Macaca fascicularis: one gene and its partners. The protein of the gene in region 7 interacts with the protein of the main gene of each other region in a pairwise test. Links are inferred from orthologs where the notes say so. Each region holds a gene or a part of one and is shown on either strand. Other genes may lie near its edges. The genes, in order: DISC1, TRIO, KIF5B, MYT1L, YWHAZ, GOLGA2 and CDC5L.

Evidence for each region.
Region 1: the proteins of CDC5L (region 7) and DISC1 interact in a two-hybrid assay, tested with the Homo sapiens proteins (2 studies listed by BioGRID and IntAct). The link is inferred for Macaca fascicularis from reciprocal best matches to the Homo sapiens genes CDC5L and DISC1.
Region 2: the proteins of CDC5L (region 7) and TRIO interact in a two-hybrid assay, tested with the Homo sapiens proteins (2 studies listed by BioGRID and IntAct). The link is inferred for Macaca fascicularis from reciprocal best matches to the Homo sapiens genes CDC5L and TRIO.
Region 3: the proteins of CDC5L (region 7) and KIF5B interact in a two-hybrid assay, tested with the Homo sapiens proteins (2 studies listed by BioGRID and IntAct). The link is inferred for Macaca fascicularis from reciprocal best matches to the Homo sapiens genes CDC5L and KIF5B.
Region 4: the proteins of CDC5L (region 7) and MYT1L interact in a two-hybrid assay, tested with the Homo sapiens proteins (2 studies listed by BioGRID and IntAct). The link is inferred for Macaca fascicularis from reciprocal best matches to the Homo sapiens genes CDC5L and MYT1L.
Region 5: the proteins of CDC5L (region 7) and YWHAZ interact in a two-hybrid assay, tested with the Homo sapiens proteins (2 studies listed by BioGRID and IntAct). The link is inferred for Macaca fascicularis from reciprocal best matches to the Homo sapiens genes CDC5L and YWHAZ.
Region 6: the proteins of CDC5L (region 7) and GOLGA2 interact in binary tests that used the Homo sapiens proteins (3 or more experiments, as listed by UniProt). The two-hybrid records come from large-scale screens. The link is inferred for Macaca fascicularis from reciprocal best matches to the Homo sapiens genes CDC5L and GOLGA2.

What each region holds. Positions count from the first base shown.
Region 1 is NC_088375.1:17,053,924-17,057,706, forward strand, and holds the end of DISC1 (disrupted in schizophrenia 1 protein), read right to left. Parts: intron 2,804-3,783; coding exon 2,665-2,803; 3' UTR 337-2,664; downstream 1-336. UniProt on the Homo sapiens protein: Involved in the regulation of multiple aspects of embryonic and adult neurogenesis. Required for neural progenitor proliferation in the ventrical/subventrical zone during embryonic brain development and in the adult dentate gyrus of the hippocampus.
Region 2 is NC_088380.1:14,798,219-14,802,709, reverse strand, and holds the start of TRIO (triple functional domain protein), read right to left. Parts: upstream 3,030-4,491; 5' UTR 2,646-3,029; coding exon 2,489-2,645; intron 991-2,488; exon of another isoform or gene 937-990; intron 830-936; exon of another isoform or gene 690-829; intron 1-689. UniProt on the Homo sapiens protein: Guanine nucleotide exchange factor (GEF) for RHOA and RAC1 GTPases. Involved in coordinating actin remodeling, which is necessary for cell migration and growth. Plays a key role in the regulation of neurite outgrowth and lamellipodia formation.
Region 3 is NC_088383.1:32,759,673-32,763,455, forward strand, and holds part of KIF5B (kinesin-1 heavy chain), read right to left. Parts: coding exon 3,674-3,783; intron 2,394-3,673; coding exon 2,289-2,393; intron 1,990-2,288; coding exon 1,844-1,989; intron 1,175-1,843; coding exon 1,026-1,174; intron 368-1,025; coding exon 174-367; intron 1-173. UniProt on the Homo sapiens protein: Microtubule-dependent motor required for normal distribution of mitochondria and lysosomes. Can induce formation of neurite-like membrane protrusions in non-neuronal cells in a ZFYVE27-dependent manner.
Region 4 is NC_088387.1:120,355,838-120,358,869, reverse strand, and holds part of MYT1L (myelin transcription factor 1-like protein), read right to left. Parts: intron 1,365-3,032; coding exon 1,221-1,364; intron 909-1,220; coding exon 768-908; 3' UTR 172-767; coding exon of another isoform or gene 145-171; 3' UTR 1-144. UniProt on the Homo sapiens protein: Transcription factor that plays a key role in neuronal differentiation by specifically repressing expression of non-neuronal genes during neuron differentiation.
Region 5 is NC_088382.1:110,578,268-110,582,676, forward strand, and holds the start of YWHAZ (14-3-3 protein zeta/delta), read right to left. Parts: upstream 2,937-4,409; 5' UTR 2,823-2,936; intron 2,601-2,822; 5' UTR 2,390-2,600; intron 1,614-2,389; exon of another isoform or gene 1-1,613.
Region 6 is NC_088389.1:15,712,587-15,716,369, reverse strand, and holds part of GOLGA2 (golgin subfamily A member 2), read right to left. Parts: intron 2,417-3,783; coding exon 2,312-2,416; intron 2,055-2,311; coding exon 2,011-2,054; intron 1,892-2,010; coding exon 1,828-1,891; intron 1,409-1,827; coding exon 1,349-1,408; intron 1,166-1,348; coding exon 1,085-1,165; intron 217-1,084; coding exon 178-216; intron 1-177. UniProt on the Homo sapiens protein: Peripheral membrane component of the cis-Golgi stack that acts as a membrane skeleton that maintains the structure of the Golgi apparatus, and as a vesicle thether that facilitates vesicle fusion to the Golgi membrane.
Region 7 is NC_088378.1:127,107,396-127,111,178, reverse strand, and holds part of CDC5L (cell division cycle 5-like protein), read left to right. Parts: intron 1-1,925; coding exon 1,926-2,070; intron 2,071-3,783.

The DNA of each region.
Region 1 (3,783 bases), on a different chromosome or scaffold from region 7:
AATACTTCAAAATTTGCAGCAGGGAAATGAACACACTATCTACTAGAGGTACCAAAGAACCCTTATTTGGGGTTCAAATAATTCAAGGCAGTTATTAACTTGCAGAATTTTCAAATACATCATGACCTCACAGAATTATTTCATGATGGTGTCTGTGTAATACAAAACACTTGGGCTAGTGACGGTTAAGATGTCTTATGTCTGGGAGGCTTTTTAAAAAGATATATGTCGAAGTAGGAATTTGTTATTGGCAATGTGGCCAATCCTGACTCTTCCCAAGTTTTGCTTCACTGGAATTAATTCAAGGACTCCAAGTGCCATGCGACCAGTTCATAATTTTCTTTAGACACAATTATAAATAATTGAGGAATTTGGTTCATCATTGAAAAATGAAGTCCAGGAACAAGCTAATTATACTTATTATTAAAATATGTAGAGTGTATTTTGCTCAAGATGAAGCCATAGGGAACACAATCAGCACATTCACATATTGTGTTTTTGGTTTGTTTCCTGGACCCCAGCCAATTGCTGGCTTCAGCAGGGCCATCTCCTTGACTGAGGACAGAAGTGCGGCACAGCATGGAAGGCTGAGCAAAGCACCAGATGCCTTCTGGAAATGCCAGTGTGACTTCAGGAAATAACAAAAATGGCCTCATATCCATGGATCCTAGTGAAGGCAGGAACATCACTGTCCCTAATCACATATATGAGAACAGAAGCACAGACAGAACAACCACTGGATTAAATTTACCGATCTGTGGCAGGTAGTTATTAAGCTCAACACTCTGCAAAACTGTGAGTGTGGTTTCTACAGTGATGTAAATCAGAGTTTGGACTTGGACTTCCTCAGAGAATGCAGTGCTGTACAATACTAGATCTGTGGGATATGAATAGGAGTTACATGAGAAAAATTCACGATCCATTAAGCTTGGAAAGTTTGAGGTTAGATAAAATCAAGTGAGTTTACTTACTATAAGTTCTCTCTCAGACTAATATGCTAATGCGCGTTGTGGTTCTCCAAGCAGATATTATGGTATGGTGTATTTATCAAAGGCACTTGACCGGAGAGGGGACTCCTTTGTTTAGAGAGCATCTCTTGGGGCCACCTTCCTCAGTGCATTTTGGGAAGTGCTGCCTAATTGAAATCAGCCTGTTTTGCAGCTGTCTCAATAGGAGTCCCAGCTGGGCCAAAGAAGCAGCCCAGCAGGAGCCTGAAATGCCCTTGCATTATTGAGTACTGCACTGATTTACTAAGTACTACATTGCCTATACTTATAGTACTGAGTACTAACTGCCCTGTGTCACTGAGTTCTGTGCTGTCCTACTGAGTACTACACTGTGTTACTGAGCACTCCACTGCCTTACTGAGCACTGCACTGTGTTACTGAGTATTGCACTGCCTTACTGAGTACTGTACTGCCTTGCTGAGTACTGTACTATATTACTGAGTACTGCACTGTTACTGAGTACTGCACTGCGTTACTGAGTATTGCACTGCCTTACTGAGTACTGTACTGTATTACTGAGTACTTCACTGTGTTACTGAGTACTGCACTGTATTACTGAGTATTGCACTGCCTTACTGAGTACTGCACTGTATTCCTGAGTACTGCACTGCCTTACTGAGTACTGTACTCCCTGAGTACTGCACTGCCTAACTGAGTACTGTATTGTATTACTGAGTACTTCACTGCCTTACTGAGTATTGTACTGTATTACTGAGTACTGCACTGTGTTACTGAGTACTGTACTGTGTTACTGAGTACTGCACTGCCTTACTGAGTACCGCACTGCCTGAGTACTGTATTGTGTTACTGAGTACTGCACTGCCTTACTGAGTACTGCACTGCTTTCCTAAATGCTGCACTGCCTGGCATTGAGTGAAACAGGTTCCACGGGAAAACAGAACAGGCTCAAACATTTTATACAGGTTTCCCCTGATCCATCCACAGCCTCACTGTGGGTAAATTTCATAAATTTCCTGATGAAACACAGACTCTCAGGGATCCTTTCTTCAGGTGCAATCATTGCCACAAAAGGAAAATTGAAAGGTGGCATACCACTGAGAGGCTGCTGTCTTACCAAAATATCTTTTGAAAGTTGCGTATTAATTTTTCTAAGATAATATTAGATCACAGGAGAAGTAAGGTGAAAAGCTGTTAATTCCAGACTCTGAGGTTAATTAGCTCTCTTAGATTGTGCACCTGTAGGAATGTGTAACAGGTATGATGACAGAGTGTTATGCTTGGTTTCCTTTTTATAGAATCTTGAATCAGGAAATATTTTAGTCGCAGCAGAAGACAAATGCTACAGGGAAAAGAGACATTTTTCCAGAATTCACCCCAACTTCTCTCTAATGGGGGCTGAGATGAAAATATTCTCAAATCCTGTGCAAGCCATTCCCATGAATGACATGGAAGAGAAATTTTTGAGTGACATTTGGAAGGAAATTCAGCAAATCCGTCTCTCTCTCCATATTCCAATTTGCAGACTCCTCAGACTCATGAGAATGAACATGAGCCACCTTTCCACTGAAAGACCTCAAGGCTCTGTATCTCCATAATTAACTCAGGCACATTAGTTATGCAGGGGGAGGGGATAGCAGCCCCCCAGGTCCAAACTGTTGACATGGTGGCCCACCTCCCTCCCCCATCCCGTCTCTCCTCAGGCTTGTGCTTCCCGGACACCAGCTGTCATGCAGGAAGCTGCGGCTTCTCTTTCCCCCGCCTCCTTTGCCGGCTGGAGCTGCAGGATCATGGCCTGCAGAGTTTCCTTCACCATCTGGAGCTCCCTCTTGAGAGACTGTGGGCACGTTGTTAAGGAGCACATTCGAAGGTGATGGTGGCCCTCTGCAGCCTCCAAGGGATCGAAGAGCACGTGAGCCTACTGGAAGCAGATGGGCACTGCCACCTAATTGCAGTTTCAAGTTCTTTCAAATTGTATGAATTAAATATTAATATAAATTTTATACTTTTTCTTTTAAGAATGACTGCAATTTCTACAATGCCTGAGGTATTGACTATCTCAAGTCAGGTCTTAAAAAGGAAATGGAAGAGTCAGCTCTTAGCCGAGACAGATGGCCAACTTAGATGCTCAATGATATGCAGTTGGCGTGACCATAACTCCGGCTAAACCCCAAGTTGGGGCGGGGCAACTGTCAGATGCAAATACTCTTGACAGTGGAAAGGGCAGAATGCTTGAAATCAAAATCTCCTCGAGAAATACAGGATTTGGGGTCACCATAAGTCGGGAGAGGCATTCTGGACCAGACTCAGTTATTAACACGGTCTCTGTTCACCATTAACCAGTCTTGTCACCCTATGCAAACCGTTTAAAGCCTTAGTTTTCTCTTGAGATGATGACTTTGAAACCCCTCCAGGTCTAACCTGCTGTTACCTGTTAGTATATTCCCAGGGACTAGGAAGGGCACTCAAGACTAGATAGAGTCCATCAAAGGGCAGAGAGTTTGCCTTTTCCGGTTTGGTTGGTTGGTTCTTTTTTTTTCTTAAGCTGTTGGGCTCTTCGTTTTCTAACCTATAAAGTTATTTCTCATATGGAGGAAACAATCAAAGAGAACTTAGCAAACAGTAATAGATAAGGCTGTAGTTCTCTTAAGAAACGGGTTCTCGTCTGGGTGTTCAAGCAGGGGAATGTTTAACCAACAGTGGTTTTTCTGTCCATACATCATCCAGTTCATCCTTTCCCTTTTTACTTGTAGTCAGAACAACTCTAAGGCAAATGCAGGGTGAGAGTTGGGTTTAACAAGCAAACTGATCCATTTTC
Region 2 (4,491 bases), on a different chromosome or scaffold from region 7:
TGGCACTTTCAGTACCAGGCTCAAAAGCACACCCTGATCTGTCCTCCCTAGTCAATGAGAACCTATTTTCCCATATTTCTGCGTCTTAGAAAAAGAAACCCAGATTTCTGATGGATTTGACTACATTCTCCTCAGCTTCCTCACCTGGTCAGCCCTGACCGTTCAAACCCCACTCCCACACCCACTCATCCAACAGAATGGCCCCTCTCTGCCCCCTGCTAGACATCGTTGGCCTAGATGCTAGAGCCAAGATCTAGGTCAGGGACTCAGAGCTGCCCAAAGGAGATTTCACTTTTAAAAAGACGTTCCAGGCTATCCCCGGAATGGGACGCTGCATCTGATGATACCTACTTAAGTTCTGCCCTGGCTCGTGGTTCTAAGTGAAACAAGTAAAAGTTAAGTTTGTCATTTCAGAGGGGGGAAGAAAGGAACAAGCCAGTGAGCAACATTACCTGGTTCTGACCCAAACGGAACATGAACAGGAGCCCCAGCGGCTGGGTCAGCACAGGCCTAAGCAAAGCCAAGAGCAGACGACAACTCCTGGAGAGAGTCACGCCGACAGGCAGCAAGTCTTCGGTGTCTTTTAGGGAGGGCTCTTAGCAGCAGAAGTGATTTTTCTACTATGCATAATAGAGATGTAAAAAAGCCTGGTCTCACAAGCACCAAAAAATCCATCTCCAACGCAGAAGAGCCTTTCTAACAGCTGTAGAGGAGCTGAATTCTGCACAGAATCTATTATTCTGTGACAGGTGGTAGAGAGAAAAAGAAGACAGGCTAGACTTTAGCTTCAGGGCATGAATGGAATACGTCCCAGTTCTGCTATTAAGAGGTAAGACGGGGCTGCTCTACCTGGCCAGTCGCACCGGGGAAAAAAAAAAGGTGGGGGTGGCTTTCTTTAGAAGGAGCTCATGTTTTCCTAACCTTTGCTTTCTGCAGGGACCTCACAAGGAGAGTGAGCACTGGGGAGTAGATTAACCCCAAGCTAACACTGGACAGTCGGCTGTGTCACTCCTAGCCACAACCAATCTGCTAAAATGAATCAAAAATAACCCCGCCTAGCAAAGATCAAGACAACCAAGGGAAGACAGTACTAAACCAGGTATCTACCAGCACTGCTAACTTCTCACTCTCACCATCGCCCTCCCGCTGCAATTGCTCCTTGTGACCCGGATTGTGGAACTGATCTCACCGAATCTGGGGAGGTGATTTTCAAAGAGGCCACGGAAAAGCGTGAGCCGCCGACCTCCCGCGCGTCCCCCAGGGCAGGGCTGCTCCCCTGGCCCGTCGGTGTCCCCAGCCCTGCCGTCCTCCCCGGGGCCGCCACCAGCACCCCCGCCCGCCTCTCCAGGCCCCGACCTGGCCCGCCCTCCTCCGCTCTCCAACGCAGAGTCTGCATCCTCCCTGCCCCGCACCCGGCCCGCTAAGGATTGCGCTCTGGGCTGCGGGCCCCGAGGCCGCCGCCGCCGCCGCCTCCTCCTGCTGCTGCTGTTCAGCCGACGCGCGAGCAGACGGGACTGGGCGCGGGGACGCGGGACACGGGGACGCGGGCCCGGCTCGCGCGGGATCTGGGCCGGGGCGGGAGGAGGCGCCGCCGCTGGGGTACCGGGGACGCCCTGTCACGCCCCCTGCGCAGCAAACCCGGCGCCCCTCCCACGGACCGGTCGCCACCCGCGCCTCTCCCGCGGCCACCTCCTCCACGCCGGGGTGGACTCGGGGCCACCTAGCACTGCCTCCACCTCCACGCCACCCATGCAGTGCCCCGCGAGCCCTAGTCCCGCACTGCCCCCCCGGGGCCACGTTCCCAGCTGACCCTCCCGGATCGTCCCCGGAGACAATGGCTCACCGCGCCTCCCGGCCCTCTGAGCTTCAGCTCGGCCACCGTTCCCATTCCCTGGGCAGTGAATGCCGTGACTGCCCCGTTTCACAGAAGTGTAGACCGAGGCTGGGGAGATGACAGGCTAGCGGGCCAAGCAAAGAAACCCAGCTGCTACTGGGATCGAGGAGGGTCCAGGTACAAATCAGGCACAAACAGGCACAGATCAGAGACCAATTTCCCGTCCCGGAGCGGCCCCGGCTCAGTCCGCTCGGTCTCCGGGGTAAGAGCCTCCGCCCACGCCATCTCCTCCGCCGCCGCCTCCTCGGTCCTCCAGCGAAAGAGACAAAGAGCCGGCGCCCCAGCCCGCGAAGCCGCGGCTGCCGGGAGCGGGAGACCAGGGGATTCTGCCCTGGAACGAGGGCGGGTGTAGGGAAGGCGAAGTGGTGGCGTTCGGGCCAAGCTGCCGCGCGCCGGGCTGCGCGGGCAGCGGGACACGCGGATGTGGGGCGGGCAGCCCCGGCGCGTGGAAGCAGTGGCCCCAGGCGAGAGCGTGCGGGCCCCAACGGACGGGTGGGCACCGGCGCGTGGTGGCCGGAGCTTGGCAGCTCCGCGGCGGATGGGCCGAAAGCTTGGGGCAGCGCCGCTGGGCTGGCCAGCCGCTGTTGCACTCACCGGATCGGAAGAAGGCCGCGATGTCGGCCAGGTCCTTGGCCGCCTCCTCGGCCCCCTCGCCTGCACCGCCCCCGCAGCCCGAGCCAGCCGCGCTGGCCGCCGCGGCGGGACCGGAGGACGCGGCGGGGGCGGCGGCGCCGCCGCTGCTGCCGCTCATGGCTGCGGCGGCGCCCGCGGCCGCGCCCGCCTCGGGCCCCGCGCCCCTAGCGCCGCGTGCCGCCCGCTCTGCGCCGGGCCTGGCGGCGCCGAGCACCCAGCTGCCCGCGCCCGGCGCGCGGACGCAGAGCCCCGGGGCGGCGGGGGGCGGCGGCGGCGGCTCGGCCCAAGGAGCGCGCCCACATAGACGAGGACTCCGCCCGGTAGCCGAGAGCTGGCCGAGGGGCGGGGGCGCGGAGCCACGGCCTCCGGGGCCCCGGCCGGAGCGCTGGCAGCAGTGCGCGCCGCCCGGACGCGCAGTCGCGAGGGCGGGGGCCCGTGGCCGGCGAAAGCTCCGGGATCACGGGCGCCGGCGACTGCCGCGAGCCTCCATCTTGATTTCAATGGGGAAGGAAGGAGGGGGAGGGGAAATCACGGCCGAGGGAACCCGGGTGAAAGGAAAAGGGAGAGCAGGGAACGGAGAGGAAGGAAAAAAAAAGAGGGGCTTCGGGAATTTCCGGCGAACCTCGTCAGGGGCCGAGCGTGGGCTCGGCGGTGGGCGGAGCCTGGGGGGAGGAGCGGGGCGGGAGGGGCGGTGCCGTGTCGGGCTGCTGGGCGCCCGCAGGGCCGGCCGGAAGGCTGCGGGAAGGTTCGGTTTGGTTCGGTCTCCCTCACCCAGGCAGCTGCAAGCCTTGAAAGGATCAGGAAAGCTCTGACCAGCCCGAGCGGACCTTCTCAGGCCCGGCATTGCGCCCCCCACTGGGGCCCTGGCTCCTGCACCGGAGCGCTGTCCCCTGAGCGCCGAAGCGTTTCGTCGTCTAGCCCGCAGGGCGGGGTGACGCGGTCCGGGGCGGGTGCCTCCCTCGTGGGCGCAGCGCCGGCCCTGGCTCGGGGAGGGGGCTTCTTAATAGTTGTTGAGTGAACAGAGAGGGCCTGATAACAGGTTATCTACTCCAGTCCTGGAGTCCACGATACTCCTACGGGTACACAGCTCTCCTGTAAGATGGGATTCCTCTCGGTGTATCCCCATCTCCCAGGGGACTTTAGGCTGCTGAACCTCGGGTTCACGGCTCCTCAGTCCTTACTCCGCCAGAATGAATGGGGAAGATGACGAGGTCTGGGGAGGCCAAAAAATATGGTCCTTTGCAGAAGATCCGTGTCAAATCAGCGCTGGACGAATATTCTAGTTCAAAACGCCTATGCCCCGGCTCCAAGGAGAGTGAAAGGATCCACTGTCGGGGGGAAACGGAAGCAAGAGACGGAAGCAAGAGATATGAAAAGCAACTGGGTGGTGAAACCACCACACGAGTATACTGGAAATAGACAAATATAAATGGTGGATGGTGGCTATCAAATCTTCACCGTTGGAGTGGGAGGTTACAGCCAGGAAGAGGCTAGAGTGATCCTTGTGGTACAGAATTAGAGTTGGAGACATCGGTATGGACTCATGTTTGGGGTCTATATCTATATTATGTATTCATATATATATAATGGGTCTGTACAGAGATTTGTAGATAGAGGGTAGTACACATACTTGTATCTCCTTGCTTTGTCAGCTGAGTGGGCCTAGACACAACACTGTAGCAAGGAATACACCTAGCACTCTGATCTTGCTTCTAATACCATTCTCCAATAAAAGGAACCAGAGCTCCTTGAGGAAATGGCTGATTCTAGGACTGGAACAGGAAATACTCAAGGTGTGCCTGGAGCACCTTGTGCCAAAAGGTGAGGAATTTGCTCCCCCCGTGAAAAGAAAAATTTTTAATCAACATCAGCAGTGGTGGGGGTACCTCAAAGGGACACAGGAGCTAATTGAAAGCGCTCCCAGTGGCCAAAGCTGAAACGATTTGAGCAAAAAAATAAAGCAG
Region 3 (3,783 bases), on a different chromosome or scaffold from region 7:
CATAGAAATTATGACTTATTTTGTTAATAATTTTTACAAGATTAACAGAAATCAAGGAATATGTATAAAGATCCTAAGTGCCCACAGCACTAAAATATGAAAAATTAGAAAATAAAAACACTCATGTCAATAGTATCCTAATATAAAACAGACCTAAATCGGGAAATACCTACCTTGTCATCAAGCTGTTTGTATAATTTGGCAATTTCTTCTTCACACTTTCTTCTTTCAGCATCAGTAAAATTTCCCATAACTCCAATTGTGGTTGCTGGTTTATCATTGGTAATAGCAATATCTTTATCTACTGTGAAAGCTTCCAAATTGGCTTTCTCTTTGTCAAACTGTTCATCAATAGGCACCGTCTCCCCTAAAATATGATAAAGTGGTTAATAAGAAACAACATGTCTAAAACTAATTTCAATTTCATTCCTTTAAAAAAATTTTTTTTTTTTTTTGGAGACGGAGTCTCAATCTGTCACCCTGGCTGGAGTACAGTGGTGCAATCTAGGCTCACTGCAACCTCTGCCTCCAGGGTTCAACCAATTCTATTGCCTCAGACTTCTCATTAGCTGGGATTACAGCTGCCCAGCACCATGCCAGGCTAATTTTGGTATTTTCAGTTGAGATGGGGTTTCACCATGTTGGCCAGGCTGGTCTCTAACTCCTGACCTCAGGTGACCTGCCCACCTCGGCTTCCCAAAGTGCTGGGATTACAGGCGTAAGCCACTGCACTCAGCGTCGTTCTTTTAAACTTTTTATTCTCTGATTGTGTTATTTTCAAATAATCTGTCTTCAAGTTCAGATGCTTTCTTCTGGTCAATTAATTCTACTACTGATGGTCTCTACTGCATTTTGCTCATTTTATTTTTCAGCTCCAGGATTTCTATTAGATTTTAAATAATTATTTCGATGTCTATTAAATTTCTTGATCTAGTCACTTACTGATTTTGCTGAACTATTTCTACGTTTCTATGCTCTAAATCTGTATTTAACAAACTTAAGATGACAAATTCTTAAGTTATTACCATTACGCCATCTGTTGAGTTCATTTTCAAGCCACTGAATGGTGTTCCGCAGGATCTTATTTTTTTCTTTTTCTTTTTCATACTTCTTTTTCCACTGTTCTGCAGTTAATTCCACATTGACACAAACTGTGTTCTTAATTGTTTTGGCCCTAAGAGATGTAATTGGAGGAAAAAAGGGATGAGACTGAAATTATTTTTAATTTTATCTATATGGAATATATGTATATATGGCTAAGAAATTTATTCTTGTCCAATAATCTCTTAGACTAAATACTAAAAGACACAACCTATGAGGTTATTTACAACCCAACTAAATTTGAGTCTGCTCCAAAATCCGTCAATAGCTTAAAAAAAAAAATCACTAAAAATAAAAGACAAAGACCTATATTTTTCCAATTTGTTTGCAAGGCTGAATTAAGAAATTACTGTTGAAAGTCAAAGACGGAATCATCATTACTGATTTTCCTAATCATCTCATATAGATGTTAACCTGTCATGCATGTCTACAGGCCTAACACAGGATTATGTTTGCCAGGCTTTTACATCATTATTTGAGTCAAATGCTTATTTTCTTTAATACCAAATTACAGCTTGTCACATAAATTTGACTAAAATTACATCTGACTTTAATGTGTACTAAAACTTAAACCAAGCAGTATCAAAAACAGGCCCATCTTGTATTATCTGTCATCAATTCAAATTGAGTGTGTCTAGCACAAAACAATATGTACAGGTTGGAATAACAGCTCACATTTTCCTACATTTTATAAACAAAAGGTCTATCTACATTTAGGTTTTGTACTTTCTTAACAACAAACCTTTGGCCAAATAAGAGTGTAGATTTTGTTTCAGATTCATTGTATGATGATGGAGAGCAGCAAATTACAATAGTGGTTCTACAGTTGCCACCTAATGAATCTTGAAGGATTCTTGTCATTTTACTATCTCGATATGGAACATATGTCTGCATACAAAAACAAAGAAAGAAAACAAGACCAGTGGGTTTCTGTACAATAAAATGTTATAAAAATATGCTACTTTAAATAAATTAAAAGGTTATTTCAGTTAACTATTTGATATTAAAATGTGAACTAGGATATACATACAATATTATAAACTCCCAAAAGACAACTAACTTACACATACTGATTCAAACACAGTGAATCTCTCTCTCTCCCTCTCTAACACCCATGCACACATATACACCTATATTTAAATAATGCCCCGTAAGGTAACAGGGAGATAGAAGACATGTATACTCACACTACCCTCAGCCAAAGCAGAAATGACATTTCCAAGAGCAGAAAGTGACTTGTTAATGTTTTTAGCTTCATCCAGCACAGCACCTTCAGCTCCAGTTTTACTAACCTATACATAAGATTTCAAAAGAACGGAACAAAATTACAAAAATTTTCTTTAAATTTTCTAAAATTTTCAGAGGTCATCAACAACCAGTAAAAAGAAAAAAGAACATGAAAAGCTTCATGATCTTATTTGCCAAGCATTTACTCTTAGGTACCACCATTTCTTGAGTACTACTCTTAAGAGTTTGATTAGAGAGACATCAAATTTTATCTGTAGTTTGTAGGTACTCTTGAAAATAACCACTTTAAATGTAAATTTGTAGTTCATTAATCTTAGTCCCCTTTGCTACATTAGAAAAGAGGAAACTTCTAAAACTGGCTAATGCATAATGTTGATGTTGTAACTATTAGAAAACAGAGACTGAGTTTAAACTCATTATATAAGCAAACCTGCTTCTTCTAAAAAAAATAAAATAAAGTATCTAAATATCTTTGTTGTGTGGCTTTTTTTTTTTTTTTTGAGACTGAGTCTCACTCTGTCACCCAGGCTGGAGTACAGTGGCTCAATTCCGGCTTACTGCAACCTCCGCCTCCTGGGTTCAAGCAATTCTCCTGCCTCAGCCTGCCCAGTAGCTGGGATTACAGGCTTGTGCCACCACGCCCAGCTAGTATCTATGTTAAAGATAGGTCAGACCAATAAATTAGCAATGTTGGCTGAAGAAACAACTTAGGAGAATTCTCAACATTAGATAATCTTTGAAAGATGTGTATAAGACTTCACAACAGAACAGAACAGATGTATCATTCTAAGCAGAAGAAACAAAATTAGCACAACAGCAAAAATGGTCACAGAGGTCCCTATTATAACATTCAAACTTAATTTGATACAGACAAGAATCAGACTGTATAGAATTGTAATAATGAAACAATCATCCAAAGGAAAGAAGCAAGTCCAACCAAACCAGAAAAGACTAATGGACAGTTACCAGTTTTAATAGGGACCCCGCTGGCCAATATGGATAAAATACATATCAAAAATTAGAAAAGGGATACCTAATAAAGTTTATAACAACATACACCGAACAAGTTCTCACCATGAACACATCTTAAGTCACAGAAACTATTTATGAGTTGAACTAGACTATGGTCAAACAACAGTAACTTGGAACTGATTATTCAGTTGATGTCATCATAAAGCAATGGTATCAGCAGTTACAAATCTCAGGTTACCAAATCCAATTTGATAAGTTTTCAAGATGCAACAACGAATCCTGCATAACTCCCAATTCAAACTAAAGTTTACAAAGATGCTTAAATATTTATCAAAATACATGAAGACTTTACCTTTTCACTACCAGCTAAATCAACCAGATAAAGTTTTCCACTGAGCTTTTGTTCCGTTTGTGTGTTCTCTTGTTTTACATTAATAAGAAATATACTGTGACTCCTAGAGC
Region 4 (3,032 bases), on a different chromosome or scaffold from region 7:
AGGAGTTAATTTAAAAGTGCTGTTTAAGCTGCTTTGAATCTTCTGCCAAGTTTCCATGGCTTGATGTTGTCTTACAATAAATTACTTATTTCATTTCTTACAGTTAATCCATATGCCATTTCCTTGGAATGCAAAAAACCTCATTTATTGCCCCCACCATACACCATCCTCCTAAAACAAACAAACAAAAAAGTCACATAATATTTCCAAGCATTGTTCAAAAATAAAGCATTTTTGCAACCAATTCTTGCTATGAAACAATATGCACACAAAATGTATTTCTTAAATTCCATAAAGTCCTCCAACATGAGGCAAAATGATAACGTCTAAAAAGCGGCTGCTTGGCCACAACATGGTCATTCAAAGCTGTGTGTGTGTGTGTGTGTGTGTGTGTGTGTGTCCATTTCAGTTCAAAATACTAAAACATTTAATCACTAAAGCATTAAAAAGAATTTACACTCTATTTATTTTGATCAGCTTACCTCTTCAGAAATAGATATACCCCCAAATGTGCATACATCAGCAGCTATAAACATTACATGGCAGAACACTATGTCAGCTTACATGGAAACGTACAAAATGTGGGTGTATTCAAAAACTATTCTGCAGGTACTATCTTTAAAGCAAGACATAAAATCATTATGAAGTCTTGTAAGCATAACACTGTTTCAAACAGAAATAAATATAGAACACTTTCTGGAAAGTTACAGCAGCAAAAAACAAGAGGCATCCTTTTTAAGCAAGAGTTTCATCACTACAGCAGCTGTTCAGACCTGAATTCCTCTCACAGCCTGCTTTATATTTTCCAGTAGGGCTTTATTTTCTGGACTCTGATAACGATCTTGATTTGTATACATTTCCGTCAAAGTAGTCACGTAAGCATCAAAATTTTGTTCATTGATTGGATCCTACGAGATATTAAATAGTAGTTCATATACAACTTTTATTTTCTTAATAGTATATTTACAAAAGCATAAAATAGTATCATAGCATAGTGCCCTTGGTTTTATACTATTTCAAAGGCCGGCTCAGAGCACACTTAAGTTTATGGGGTCAGCCCCGCCCATGTTTCTAGCAGTTAACGGTATGGTTTCGGGGTGGTAACCACAAACATTTGCCAAAGGCTGAAGAACCATGAAAATAACAACAAAAACGGCATCTACTTTAGGCTGTGCGCTGTGAGGACTCCACATTCCTGCCTTGCGCGCTCAGTCACTTACCATGTGTGGCAGCTGGATGTTGGCCAGACTGTGGATCAGAGACTGGCTCAGGTTCGCCAGCTCGTGGAGGAGGGACTCGTTCTGCTGCTCAATCACTTTGTTCTCCTCTTCGATGGTCTTCAGGTTGCTCTCCATCGTGGTAATCTGAAACGCACAAGTGCGTGTGACATGTAACACCAGGAGGACCTAGAAGCCCGTGGCCGTTGCCGGGGGCCACAGCCTACTGGGTGCCAAGAAGGGGCCTCTCGCTGAAGGAGAGAGCCTTCGGGCCGGGCGCGGTGGCTCACGCCTGGAATCCCAGCACTTTGGGAGGCCAAGACAGGCAGATCACTTGAGGTCAGGAATTTGAGATCAGCCTGGCCAACATGGTGAAACCCTGTCTCTACTAAAAATACAAAAATTAGCCGGGCGTGGTGGCGGGCGTCTGTAATCCCAGTTACTTGGGAGACTAAGACATGAGAACAGCTTGAACCAGAGAGGCGGAGGTTGCAGTGAGCTGAGATCACACCATTGCACTCCGGCCTGGGTGACAGAGCAAGATTCCGTCTCACAAAAAAAAAAAAAAAAAAAGAAAAAGAAAGAAAGAAAGAAAGAAAAAGGCTTCAGTGGTGAGCGCTTGCCGTTTAAGGACCTGCTGTCTATGCTTTGGATTCACTGCACTTGACAACTGGGGAAGTGGGACTGTTTCCTTGCGCCATCCTGTTCTCTCAGCTGGCCTGACGGGACTGCAGTGTGTGGGGGCTTAGTGTTTTACTGACTTGATGCGAATACTTCTCCTTTCTAGCCTGAATCAAATTCTGCCACAGCTAAGTCCTCCAATGCTCATTTCTGTGTGGGGGTGTCACTATCTCTTCAGATGGCACCGGGCTGGCACTGTGCCCACAGGGTGGTCTTCCTGCATTTCTCTAAGGAAAAAGGCCCACCGCGGACCCTTCCTTGCATATTCCAGAGATAATTTAAGTATCATCAAGGTCAAGGTCAGGGCCTCTAACGGCACAGGACTAACTTCACACGCAGCAGGCAGGGAGCTGCCCTGTCCGTGGGGGTGTCTGCCTCGGCCACCCAGGGGTGCCTCTGCCGTGCGTGATCTGGGGCTTCTCTCTGGAAGACCGAGCTGACCCGCAGAGTCCAGGGCTGGCCTGGCCTACCCGCTCCTCTCCGCTCCTTCCCCGACGTGTCATTCCCAAGTCCTCTCATGAGAGTCTCTCCTCCTCTCCCTCTTGGTCCTGTCTTCTATGTTCTGGCCCTCCCTTGGCTGTACTGGGTCAAATCCCGGGTTCTCCCACCAGCCCCAGGCACAGACCCTCTGTTAGAAAACTGGTGCCCCTTGGAGATACCCTCCAGGATGAAGTGGGGAGGGTGGGCCTTCTCCTTGGAAGGAATCGCAGCCCCCACCATTCTTGCAGGGATGGTGCCCTGTGGAGAACCCACCGAAATCACACAGCTTTGTTTCCATGCACGTCCTTGGTGACCTTCTCATTTGTGTTCCTTGGGATTATTTATCAAATTACTGTTCCCCTCCCAGCTGCCCCCTTGCAGGCTCAGGAGTGGATGCCTGCCCTCCCACGACTCCTGGGTGGGCCCCGAAGGGCTGCGTGCCTCGTGCTCGTCTTCCAGAGCGTTCTGTAACCCTTCCTGGGCGGCCACGTGCCTGCACTCACAGCTGGTGGCAGCTGTGGCTGGGACCTCACTAGAGATGATGTCAGTGTAAAGAGACATAGGTTTTCTATGATGGAATCTAATCTCGGGTGAGGCGCCACTGCCCAGGTCCCAAGGTTGTTAAAGGGCCCACGCAGGGGGAAGGCCAGCAGC
Region 5 (4,409 bases), on a different chromosome or scaffold from region 7:
ACCCGGACTTTAAAGTGAAAATCCTCCGGTCCACTTATCCGCAACCACCCCCCTCCAGGCTCCGCCCAAGTCGGAGCCTCCGCTCAAGTCCCCGACTCTCCTTTGTCATGGCGGATCTGTGTCAGGGAGCCCAACCTACTGCAGAGTGTTAATTCCCCCCTCCTCCGACCGAAGCCAGAGGGAGGAGCAGCCCGCGCCCCCGCCCAAGCCGTGGCGCGGCGGGTGGGGGGGAGCGAAGCCGCCCGACCCCGGGGCAGAGACGCCACAGCCGCCCGCAGAAGCGGAACCACTACCAGCCCCGCCACGGACACACCCCGCTCTCCCACCCAGCGCCTTCCCCGCCACCGATCAGCGCCGATGCCCGTGTACAGCGTCTCTAAGGGACCGACAGCTGCAGGTGGGGGAGGGGACGAGAGCCACACCCAGCAGAGCGGGCCACCAGCGGCTATGCTCAGGGTCACCCGCCCCCAAAGCAGGATATGCGTCCCCAAACCGAGCGCAGGGAACCTCCAGTTCTAGTCCATCACGCACGGAAGCCGACGGCGGGCTCCCCACCCCGCTCTCTACCCCCACCTGGACTCGCAGCCCCCGTCCGCACCTCCTCCGCCCGTTCGAAAGGAGCAAAAAAAGTCAGACCCATCCCCCACCCCCACCAGGAAATTTCAAGTCCTTCCTCCCACCGCGGAGCCCACGAAATTCAGCTCTAGGTCGCAGGAGAGCCCCACCCCAAAACCTCACCCCGCAGTGTGCTCCCCCTCGCGCCGGCGCGCGGCCTCGCCCCGGTCTACCTGGCGGGCGCCGCCGTGCCAGGCCTGGGCTCCGGCCCGCTCTCGGCCAGGCCTTTCCCTCGCTCCTGGATCCCCGAGGCCCCCGGCCCCTCCCCGCCGCGCCGCCGCCTCCCGGGGTGGGGGAGGGCCGGGTCCCGCCGCCGCAGCGCCCAGCGCAGAGGCTGCGCGAGGGGGAGGGGGGCGGGGGAGGGGAAGGAGGGGGCGGCCGAGGGAGAGAAGAGGGGGCGGCCTCACCTGCGCCACTGCGATGCCCGCCGCCGCCGCCGAGTCATTATCTCGGGCGGAAGCGAGAAGGGCGACGAGGGAGGGGGTGGGAGCCCGCAGAGACAAGGGTGGGGACGGATCGCGGCCGGCGGCGCCCCGGCCATGCCTCGTCCACCTTTGGGAGCCGGCGACAGGGGGATCCCCAGGGATCTCGCGTGTGGGCGCCCTCCCCACCCCCGGGAGCAGGACGGGGGAGCGAGCACCGATCGGCGCCGGGGCGTCGATGCGGAAGCAAGGAGTCGGAGGCGGCCGCTAGCCGCCCGCCCGAACTCAGCGGAAGAGGAGCCGCCGCCCGTGTCCGCTGAGGAGACTCCGCCTCAGCCCGGCGCCGCCACCGCGGGGCTAGTGGGGATGAGAGGACGGAGCGAGGACGGCTCCCACGCGTTCGGAAGGCTGGCCTGGGACAGGAAGGAGCGGGGCGCGGCGGCGGCCAGGTTCCTCACCTGTGTCCGGAGTGGGTGGTGGCGGCGGACAGACAGGGGCTCAGCAGTCTCTGGGCGGCGGCGGCAGCAGCAGCGGCGAGGCTGAGACTCTGTCCCTGGATCTCGCTGCTCACAGGCTACAGCCGCTCCGCAGACACGGGGTTTCCTCCAATCACCAGCCCCGGCAGCAGGGGCACCACACGCACGATGACGTCAAACGCTGCTATGGCAACCGTTGATTGGTGCCCACAGCGATCTGGGCCCCGCGCAACCGCCGCTCCCCGGCGCGCGTCTTGCCCGCCCGCGCTGGAGGGCGAGCGGAGGCGCGTGCGTCCTCGCCCGCAGCCGCCACTTCTCCCACCCCGCTCGGCTCCCAGCTCCTCTACGCTTGTCCCGAGTGCACCTAGGCAGGAAGCTTTTTTTTTCTTTTCCCGCAAACCCCCCCACTCCTCGCCTTCCCCTTGGGTCCCCGACGCCCTCTCTCTCCCTCTCCCCTGTGGCCTCCGCCGGTCCACTCTTCCTCTCAGCCTGTGGGAAGGCGCTCTCTCCCTACCCCCACCTTAGCTTTCGCTCAGGCCGTCTGCGCTTGCCCCAGTCACTCCCTCTGGAAGGGGCTCCCGTTCAGCAACATCCGGGACCTTTCACATCCCCCCACCTCTCCCCGAGGCCCGGCCCGCCCCGCCCCGCCCTCCGTGCTTCGCGGTAGTAACTGCCCCGGGGCCGTCCCCGGGCAGGATGACGAGGGTGGCTCGGCGGCTCCGGCATTGTGATCAGGACTTGCGGGGTGGGGGCCGGGCGCGGTCGCACGGCAAGGGAGGGTTGTGTGTGGTGCGCTCCCCCCGCCCCCCCGCCGCTCCCCTTGCCCGGAGGGGCGCGCGGCCCCTCCCGGTCTCCCTCCCGCCGCCGCGGCTTTACCTGCTGGCTTGGGGGAAGCGGCCCTAGACCTTTTATGGCTCGGAAACGGGAGTGAGGCGTCCAGCCCGAGTGTGGCTGAGTGATGGGGAGGCGTTCCAATCGAGAGCTCGGGATCTGCGCTCGGTGACTGCCCGAGGGGACAATGGGTGGGCGCCGAGGTGGGGACGAGATGGGCCGGGCCGGGCCGGGCGGAGCCGGCGGGAGGTGAGGCCTGGAAGGAGGCGCGTCCGCTTTAGGGAAGCCAGAGTTCCGAGGGGAAAGGACAACCTTCTCTGGCGGAGGGCTGGAGCTGGTCCTGGCAGCCTTGACCCGGAGACAGGCAGTCAGGCGTGACCGCACGGACCCGTTTCTCGTAGGCTAGGTTTTCCTACCCAAATAAAGCTTTCACGTGAAGACCTCATACTGCAGTGACTTAACACATGACTATCATTACCTTTTTGTCTCCTAGAAGCAAGGTTTGAGGGACGTCGTAGTCCCCAGGGTTCCAGCTGGCGGTGGGAGTGGACCACGGGCCGGGTGATGAGCGAGGACAGTAGCCCGGAAGAAGGGGAAGGAGAAGGGCGGAAATTGCAGGTGCCTGAACGGGTAGGGCCTCCGCCCAGTTGACTTAAGGAAGTTCAGAGAGAAACATTCACAGTGCGCTGCCCCTTCACTCTTTAAATGTGTTCGGGCTAAGAAAAGGTTAGTGCCTGGATGACCTGCAAAACCACTTGCAACAGTCATAGAGACTGTACGGTTAGCAATGAGAGCGCTTGGAACTCTTTATTTTACCCTTGTGTAAACTCCTCATTGATTCTTCCAACGTATCTTTATTGAGCTTCATTTAGCCCCATGTTCTCTACAGAATTTAGTTTCTCAGTAGTAGACACGAAATGACTGAGTCCTCGCTCTTCCAGTACATTGTCTTTCTTGCATAATACAGTGGACCACAAAGCTGCTCTACAAATTACTTTTTGCTTGACATGACAGCTGGCATTTAGATAGTACAGACCAGAAAGAGAGTTTCCAGTGACCAGTTCCATTTCAGTGGGTTTTTTGTTGTTGTTTTTCACAAGCTGCCAAATCACAAATTCATGGTAGGTTAAATAGATGAACAAATTGGAGTTTTATTTCTGAGATGTTAGGGTCAACTAGCTTTGACTCTCAAGTAAATTCTTTTTAGGGCGTGACTCACTTAAAATGACTAATATTTCAAAAGCTATTTTTTTTAACAGTTTTTTCCAGTTTTGTGGTAGGCACCAGAAATTTGACAGAGGATACTAAGTTAAACGTTTTTTAAAATGGAAATTCATGTTTCTTTAATGTCTCAAATATATGTCTATGTAGCGTGTATGCCTTTTGTTTCAGAGGAGGTTAAGGGGTTTCTCTATAAATTGTGAGTTTAGGAAAGAAAGAGCTAAGTTAGGTTTTTGCCTCATGCTTTAATAGAAAGGCATTTTTTAGCGCAACAATAGGCACTGTTAGGTTTTACGTACTCAAGTCAACGTGTCTGCACAATAAAGATACAATGAAGCTGCAAGAAAGGAACAGGGGATGTTATGAAAGTCCTGAGGAAAAGATCTTTCAAGAAATAAGGAATAACCTATGGCATACAGAGCAGAATAAATAGAACCTATGAACCCTGGGAACGTTGCTGGAGACTTTCACTAATACCCTGACCTGTTTTATTTTCTTCAATGCGCAACTCTTACCTCACTCAAGTTGGTTAACCTCTATGTGCTTTGATAGCCACGGCAATAAAATACTGGCAACAAAAACACTTAACTCATTAGGTGATGCTGAGGATTAAACGAATATACACATACGTATATTTCTTACACAGAGTTACCTAGCTATTATTCATTTGTAAATGGATATATCTGATTGATATCTCTAGTGTTCAAAGGATTGTAAAGATAAAATGAAACTATTCTTTTTGATTTTTAGGGAACTTCAGTAACAGAAAGAAACCACATTTTTAAAGTATCTTTTAGAAGTAGAAATGCCTATTTGTGTTTCTCAGTGCTAATGAGACATGAGT
Region 6 (3,783 bases), on a different chromosome or scaffold from region 7:
GGACCGGCCCACCCATGGGACCAGGTTATCAGGGACCCTGTGGGGATGGGGTGGAATCTTGGGGGGTGAGCCTTCTTCCCCAGGCTGGGAGCGGGTGAGACGAGACTGAGGCCTCTACATTTGAGTGCCCCCCAAACCCAGCTGTCATGTTGTGAGCAAACAAAGAAATCACGTTACTTCTTCCAACTGATCCGTAATTTCTTGGTTCTGTTGTTTCTGTGGGGAAGAGTCAAAGGAAGGTGACTGAGGGTGGCCCCCTCAACCCTATTCCCCAGACCAGGAAGGGGTAGGCAGGAGCCAGGAATGGATTTTAAAGGCAAAGTTCTCAGACCCAATGGGAACACGAACTGCTCAACTCTCCTCAGGCTCCCAAGGAAAGGGGATTTGTGTCTTTGTTGGTTTTTGCCCACAACCACAGAACTGAAAGTCTGAATCTGGATTCTCTTGAAAGGACAGTAACATAAACCTCTAGAGATGGAGTGTGAGAAAAGCCCACCCTCTGCCAGTTTGTGATTTAGAAAGGTGTATTCATTCAACAAACATTTGCTGAGCACATATAGGCCAGGTACAGTTCTTAATAGCAGGGATATCAGACAGAAAAAGACAGACAGGAGCCCTTGGCCCTGAGGTTTACATTCTAGTGGGCCTTTAAATCTTCAACGCTCAGAGCTAAGAGACCTTTGATACTCTCTAACTCTACCTCCTCAGGAAATGCAAGCCCAAGAAGGAGAGGTGGCTTGTCCCGAATCCAAGAGCAAATTAAGGACTGAGTCAGGGTGGAAATACGGGGCTCCTGACAACCAGTCAGGCTAGTGCTTCCCCAAGAGGCAACAATCCCAGGGCATGTGTGGCAAGGACTCGAGCAGGGGTGTCTAGAGAAGAGAGAGTAGGCAAAGAGGGCAGCAACAGAAGAGCCATGCTGCATGCTCCGTGCTCTGGGGTCCCTCCAGCTGAGGCCTGGGCCCCCCAGCTCCCCATTCGCCCTTGGCACCAGGGGCCCCCTGCCCCTTTCTTCAGGGTCCCAAGGGGAAACTGGAGCCCAGGATTAGCAGCGTGGAATCAGGGGACCCCACTGGACTCTTACCAATTTCTCTATCGTGATATTGAGTTGTTTGTTTGTTACATAGCTGGAGTCCAGGGCTACCGCTAGCTGTTGGTACCGGCTCTGAGGCGCATGCAGAGAGGAGGAGTTGGAGGAGGATTGGGGGGAGAGGTAGAGAGAGCAATCATTAGGGTTGGGGGGTGTGTGGGCTGTCTCAGCTGGCAGAGGGGCACCCAGCCCCCGCTATGGGAGGAGGTTGGAGGGCTGGCCTGCAGGGTCACTGGGCCACGGCCCAGGGCCTCTTACCTCCAGATCCTTCAGGTTAGCAGATGATGCAGGGCCCTCCCCATTCACACATGTCGTAGACTATAAGAGACGAGAGTGCACATGGAGATGTTCTGTCCCCTCAGTGTCTAAGCCCTCTGACTTCCTTTCTTCCCCAGCAATTGGCAACATTTTCTCTTCTAACTTGGACCCTTTGTCCCGTAACCCCTTTGTGCCAACTTCTCTCATGGTTCTTATTTCCCCACCATCCTTCCCTCCCGAGCACCTCTCATCCAGTGCTTCTGCAGCAGGATAAAATGATGCAACCAGTCACAGGGTCCAACTCCTTCATGTGCACAACTTCAAGGGAGAAAGCTCAGGGAAAAGCCGACTTCCTCAACATTGCCCAGCACATTGGCTGGTCCAGGATCTTCCCTCTCTTGTGAATCCCTGCCTCAGTTTCTTTCTATCATAGTTCCCTTCCCCCCGCACCCCACTCTGGGCCTCAATTCCTGAGGTACCTCACAAACAAGACCATTGAGCTGTTGGGAGAGTTGTCGCAGGCTCTCGGTTGATGAGAAAGTCCTAGGGATGGAGACACAGGGGTCAGGGGTGCAGGTGGCTCAATGGGAAAGAAGGTCATGGGCAGTGGCCTCCCTGACTCTCTCGGCCTAGAGACTGCTGCCCCAACAGGAGACACTCACTTAGTTTCATCCATGAGATTAGGGACATTGTCAGCATCATGATTCTGTGTGGGAAGAAACGTATGAGATGGTCATTCAATGTCTGCTAAGAATCACCCAGGACAGGGTGAGTCAAGCTCCCAAACTCATTCCAACAATCTTCCATATCCCCAGACCTCAAGAAAAAGCCTAGTCTGAGCCTTCCCCCAGCCCATTCCCCAGGAAGAGCCCTTGGCCCTAGGGAACAAGCTACCTGTGAAAAGAGAAGATAATCCATAGTAGGTACAGGAGGGGAGTAGGCAGAGGGGGAGGAGGCACAAACCTGAGATACCGCCATGCTAGTGAGACTGGCACCAGGGGAAGGGACACCGCCAGGTAACACAGTGTCATCAGACGGTTGTAGAGAATCAGCATTGTCCTTGGGTGTCTGTCACAGAACAGAGCAGGGGGTTAGGGGGCCATGCGGGATAGAAGGTGCCTCAGTGCCATGAACACAAGGGTGTGGAACAGGTAGGACAGGTGTTGCTGCAGTCAGTGACAGTCACACATGCTAGGAGCCACTCAGGGGTGTGGATATGGTTGCCCAGGCCTTGGGCTGCTAGGCAGCATTTCAGATGGCCAAAGCTCAAAGCAGGGGCTGCACGGCCTCCTTCATGAACACGAGGACCTCGCTCTCTCTGGAGCTCAGCAAAAGACAGCAGCAGGCACTGACCTGTGGCAGCCACAGCAGGTGGGAGGAAGGTGTGCCAAAGTCAGGGAGGAGAAAGGCACTGTTCTTCCAGAAGGCCAGTCTGTGCTGCAGAGTGACCCTAACTGGGCCCCTAGTGGGCAGAGGATGGTGATGAGGAAGTAGTTGTCTGGGCAATGTAGCTATCTGCCTGCTTCTCTCCTCCTTTCCTCCCTTCCCTTCTCCCCTGCAGTGGCACAATCATAGCTCACTGCAGCTTCCACCTCCTGGGCTCAAGCAATGCTCCCACCTCAGCCTCCCTAGTAGCGGAGATTACAGGAGCACACCACCATGCTCAGCTAATTTTTATAGAGATGTGGTCTCGCCATCTTGCCCAGGCTGGTCTCAAAGTCCTGGGCTCAAGTGATCCTCCCACCTTGGTCTCCCAAAGTGTTGAGATTACAAGTGTGAGCCATTGAACCTGGCCTATTGGCTGTGTTTCTGATTCAGACCTTTCCAGGAAAAAAAAAAAAAATTACCCAACTAGAAGCCTCTCCCCAACTATCTGGAGGTAAAAGGAGAATAAACCATGGCTACCACCCCCACCCCAACCTCTTACCTCCAAAAACATCTACCCAACCAAGAAACCACCCAAGAAAACAGAGGTAAGACATCTGCCCTATGGCTCCTGGCAACTTGGAAGTTATGGGGCCTCTTTCCTGGGAATTGTACCTGGGGACAATCCTAGGATTCAGAACTTGGGGTCACATGGAGCCTCTCCCTCGCCCCCAACTGGACCTACCTGCTTGATCAGAGCCCCACCCGGCCTCTCTCGAGGCTCTGGCCTTACTCTTGACCCAAGCCTCTGGTTCTAGAGGTCTTCTAATATCTGACAGGCCAGATGGGCAGACAGCGGAAAAAGCTGGCTGATCAGCTAAGCTGGACAAGAGAAAAACACCAGGGAGCCAGGGCCTGGCCACGGAAGCTGGTTCTGCGAGAAGTGGCTACACCTCTCTCCAGGGAAGCTGGGTCTGGGGGAAGTGGCTACACCTCTCTCCAGGGAAAGGACTGCGTACTCGCTGGACCCTTCAGCCCTGGCCTCTGAAAACCCAAATCTGTTTCCCTCC
Region 7 (3,783 bases):
AGGCATCAGTTACTGTGCCTGGTCTAGATTTTTATTAGTACAATGTGGCCTACATATGGTTTTATTTATTTAATGGATTCATCTTTCTGAGAAAATCAGGGACTCTGGCTATCATGTTTTTAGCACAGAATGCTGTTTATGGCTCTTAAGTTGAAGTGCGTGACTCTTAATTGACTGTTTACTCTTTGAATCACTTCTTAACTTTTAGGTACTTTTATGAATAGGTTAGTTTCACTGGTGGCTGGAATCTGTCAAAATTGAGTCTGGTTTTTTTAGTCTTTAAAAAAATTTGGTTTTTTTTAAGACAAGGCCTCACTCTATCACCCAGGCTAGAGTACAGTGACATGATCACAGCTCACTGTATCTTCCACCTCCCAGGCTCAAGTGATCCTTCCACCTCAACCTCCCAAGTAGCTGGGACTACAGATGTGTGCCACCATGACTGGCTAATTTTTTATTTTTTGTAGAGAGGTGGGTCTTGCCATATTATCCATGCTGGCCTTAAACTCCTAGGCTCAAACTGTCCTCCCTTTGCCTCTCTCACAAAGTATTGGGATTACAGGCGTGAGTCACCACGCCTGGCCCTTTTAGTCTTTTCTAGTGAAAAATTTTGTTTTTATTAAGATGAAATTAAAAGAAAAAACTACTGATCCTTTCACTTGATGGGATAGATACACTTTTATAAAATCTTTATGTTTTAGAAGATAGCAGATTTTCCCTATTTCTTGAGAATTTTAGTTTCTTTAAATCTCATATCTGAATATTGTAGGGAAAGTATTTTATGGTTGTCAAGGATTTTTAAAAGTTTTCTGCTCTGTTGACCTTTAATTTCTGTTGATATGAATTGTTACAAAACAACAGCTATCGGCCATTGTAAAATAGGATTTTCTTAGATGTACTCCATTGTATTTATTCCTCAAATTAGGACTTTGCTTTAGGTAGGCTGTACAAATAAAGAGACGGAACAGGAAAACTATTGATTTGGAAGGAGTACTAAGTGGGGGAGGCAAGAAAGACGCAGAAGGGGAGGAGGTATTCCTGGAGCTTTGAAAGACTGCTTCGAGCCTGTCTTTAGGCTTCTTAATCATGTTTAGATGTTGCTTGTCAGTATTAAAACAGCCTTTTTAAAAAACTTGTGAATTTTAAGAATCATGACAATTTAGTAAGTTTTAAAGGGAAATTTAAATACTATATTTTAATATTATTTATTTCATACACATTGTCCTTTTTACATACTTGTCATACTTTTTCCTATGTGCACACACATTTTCATTGAATGTTCATAATATAGGAATAGTTTTTCTTTTGACATTATGTGGAATGTTTTGCTTATCACAGTCTTCATACTTATATGTTTTAATATTTAGTACTTCAATTACTTAGGGTATGTTATTAATAATTTTATTGCTATTCTGAGTTTGCTTTTATCTTGAATATAGTAAGTAATGGTGTAGGGGACCACTTAATGCATATTGTTTTTGCCTTTTTTTAGTTCTTTTCTTTTCTTTTCTTTTTTTTTTTTGAGATGGAGTCTTTCTCTATCGCCCAGGCTGGAGTATAGTGGCAGGATCTCAGCTCACTGCAACCTCCACCTCCCAGGTTCTAGTGATTCCCCTGCCTCAGCCTCCGAGTAGCTGGGATTACAGGCACACGCCACTACGCCTGGCTAATTTTTGTATTTTTAGTAGAGACGAGATTTCGCCATGTTGGCCTGGCTGGTCTCGCACTCCTGACCTCAGGTAATCCACCCACCTTGGCCTCCCAAAGTGTTGGGATTACAGGCGTGAGCCCCTGCACCCGGCTTTTTTAGTTATTTTCTTAGAAATGAGGTTGGTTTGTTCAAAGGGTATGAGTATTTGTATGAATTTTAATGTTTTTGCCTATATGTAACTTACAAATGTCTTTTCTACCTTGATCCATGACAGTGAAAAAGAAGGAAGAGATAGAAAAAAAGACAAACAGCATTTGAAAAGGAAAAAAGAATCTGATTTACCATCAGCTATTCTTCAAACTAGTGGTGTTTCTGAATTTACTAAAAAGAGAAGCAAACTAGTACTTCCTGCCCCTCAGGTAATCTGATAAAAGCAAATTTTTCACTATGTGAATTTATATGCTTATATCATTTATTCAGCAAATGTTTGAAGGCCTGTGTGCCAGGTTTGTGCTGGATGCTCTTAAGAAATTCACAGTTTAATGGGTAAGACACACATAAAAACAAGTAATTGTGGGCTGGCTGCGGTGGCTCATGCCTGTTATTTTAGCACTTTGGGAGACCAGGATGGGCAGATAACCTGAGGTCAGGAGTTCAAGACAACAGGAGTTCCTGCCCAGTGTGGTGAAACCCTGTCTCTACTGAAAATACAAAAATTAGCTGGGCGTGGTGGCACACACCTGTAATCCCAGCTACTCAGGAGGCTGAGGTGGGAGAATCACTGGAACCCTGGAGGTGGAGGTCGCAGTGAGCCAAGATCGTGCCTCCGCACTCCAGCCTGGGTGACAGAGTGAGACTCTGTCTAAAAAAAAAAAAAAAAAGAAAAAGAAAAACCCACAAGTAATTGTGATATAGTATGATAAGATAGCTTCAGCTTCTCTGTATAAATTATTGTATCAGGTCTTAAACTGCTCATATGATGGTTTGGTAAGTAATCGTCAGCTCTTAACATTTTGTCAACAGGTTAGGATTTTAGGCTTCTTTTTTGTAGCTGACAAGGGTAAAGGTGTGGTTTGGCTTTGTGGACTTTAAGCTACCTTCTCCCAGGGAATGTTTTGTTGTGTTTTGCTTGTCTTTTTTGAGACAACAGTTACGAAAATCAATGTAGGAGTTGTGGAGAAAAGATACAAACATTCTTTCATTCAGCTTGTTACAGGCTGTTTTCTTTTTACTTATTCTAGTTGATCAGAAACATGGGACCTTAGAGTAACCTTTTTTTTTTTTAATGAAACTGAGTCTCGCTCTGTCGCCAGGTTGGAGTACAGTGGCGCCATCTAGGCTCACTGCAACCTCTGCCTTCCGGGTTCGAGTGATTCTCCTGCCTCAGTCTTCTAAGTAGCTGGGACTACAGGCGTGCGCCACCATGCCCAGCTAATTTTTGTGTTTTTAGTAGAGACAGGGTTTCACCATATTGGCCAGGATGGTCTCGATTTCTTGACCTCATGATCTACTCGCCTCGGCCTCCCAAAGTGCTGGGATTACAGGTGTGAGCCACTGTGCCTAGCTAACCTTCTTTTTTTTCTGTTTTGAGTAGTACAGCTTTGTAGAATTGGACAGATTTAATGGTGCAGAAGAAAGGACTTAGGAGACCAGAAGAACTCTTTCCCCCTGTGAGCACATTGGCTGCATCAACACAAGATTCTTGGGCATAAACTAATTTTGTCGTATCCTGACATTCCTAGTGGGGATATTTATTAAATTGAAATTTTGTCTTTAATTTTTTTCTTAGTACACCTTAGGATATTTATTTTGGTAAAATTACTAACACAACACCTTTAGATTTTCTTAGGGATCTTGTGGCTCACTGGAGTATTTCTGTGTGATATTTTAATTGGTTTTCAGTCTTCCTCCTCCAATTTTGTATAAATACTGCTATTTTACATTCTTGGTACATTGATACGTTGATTTGAAAGAATTTCAGTATAGAGATACAGCCTTTGTAGCTTGATTTTATATCAAATGTGAATTTTCCCCTCACATTCTGTAAGGAAGACTTTCTAAAGCTATATTATGGAAACTTTCAAAGCCACAAAAAAGATGAGTACTACCGAGAACCCCTGATACTAATCACA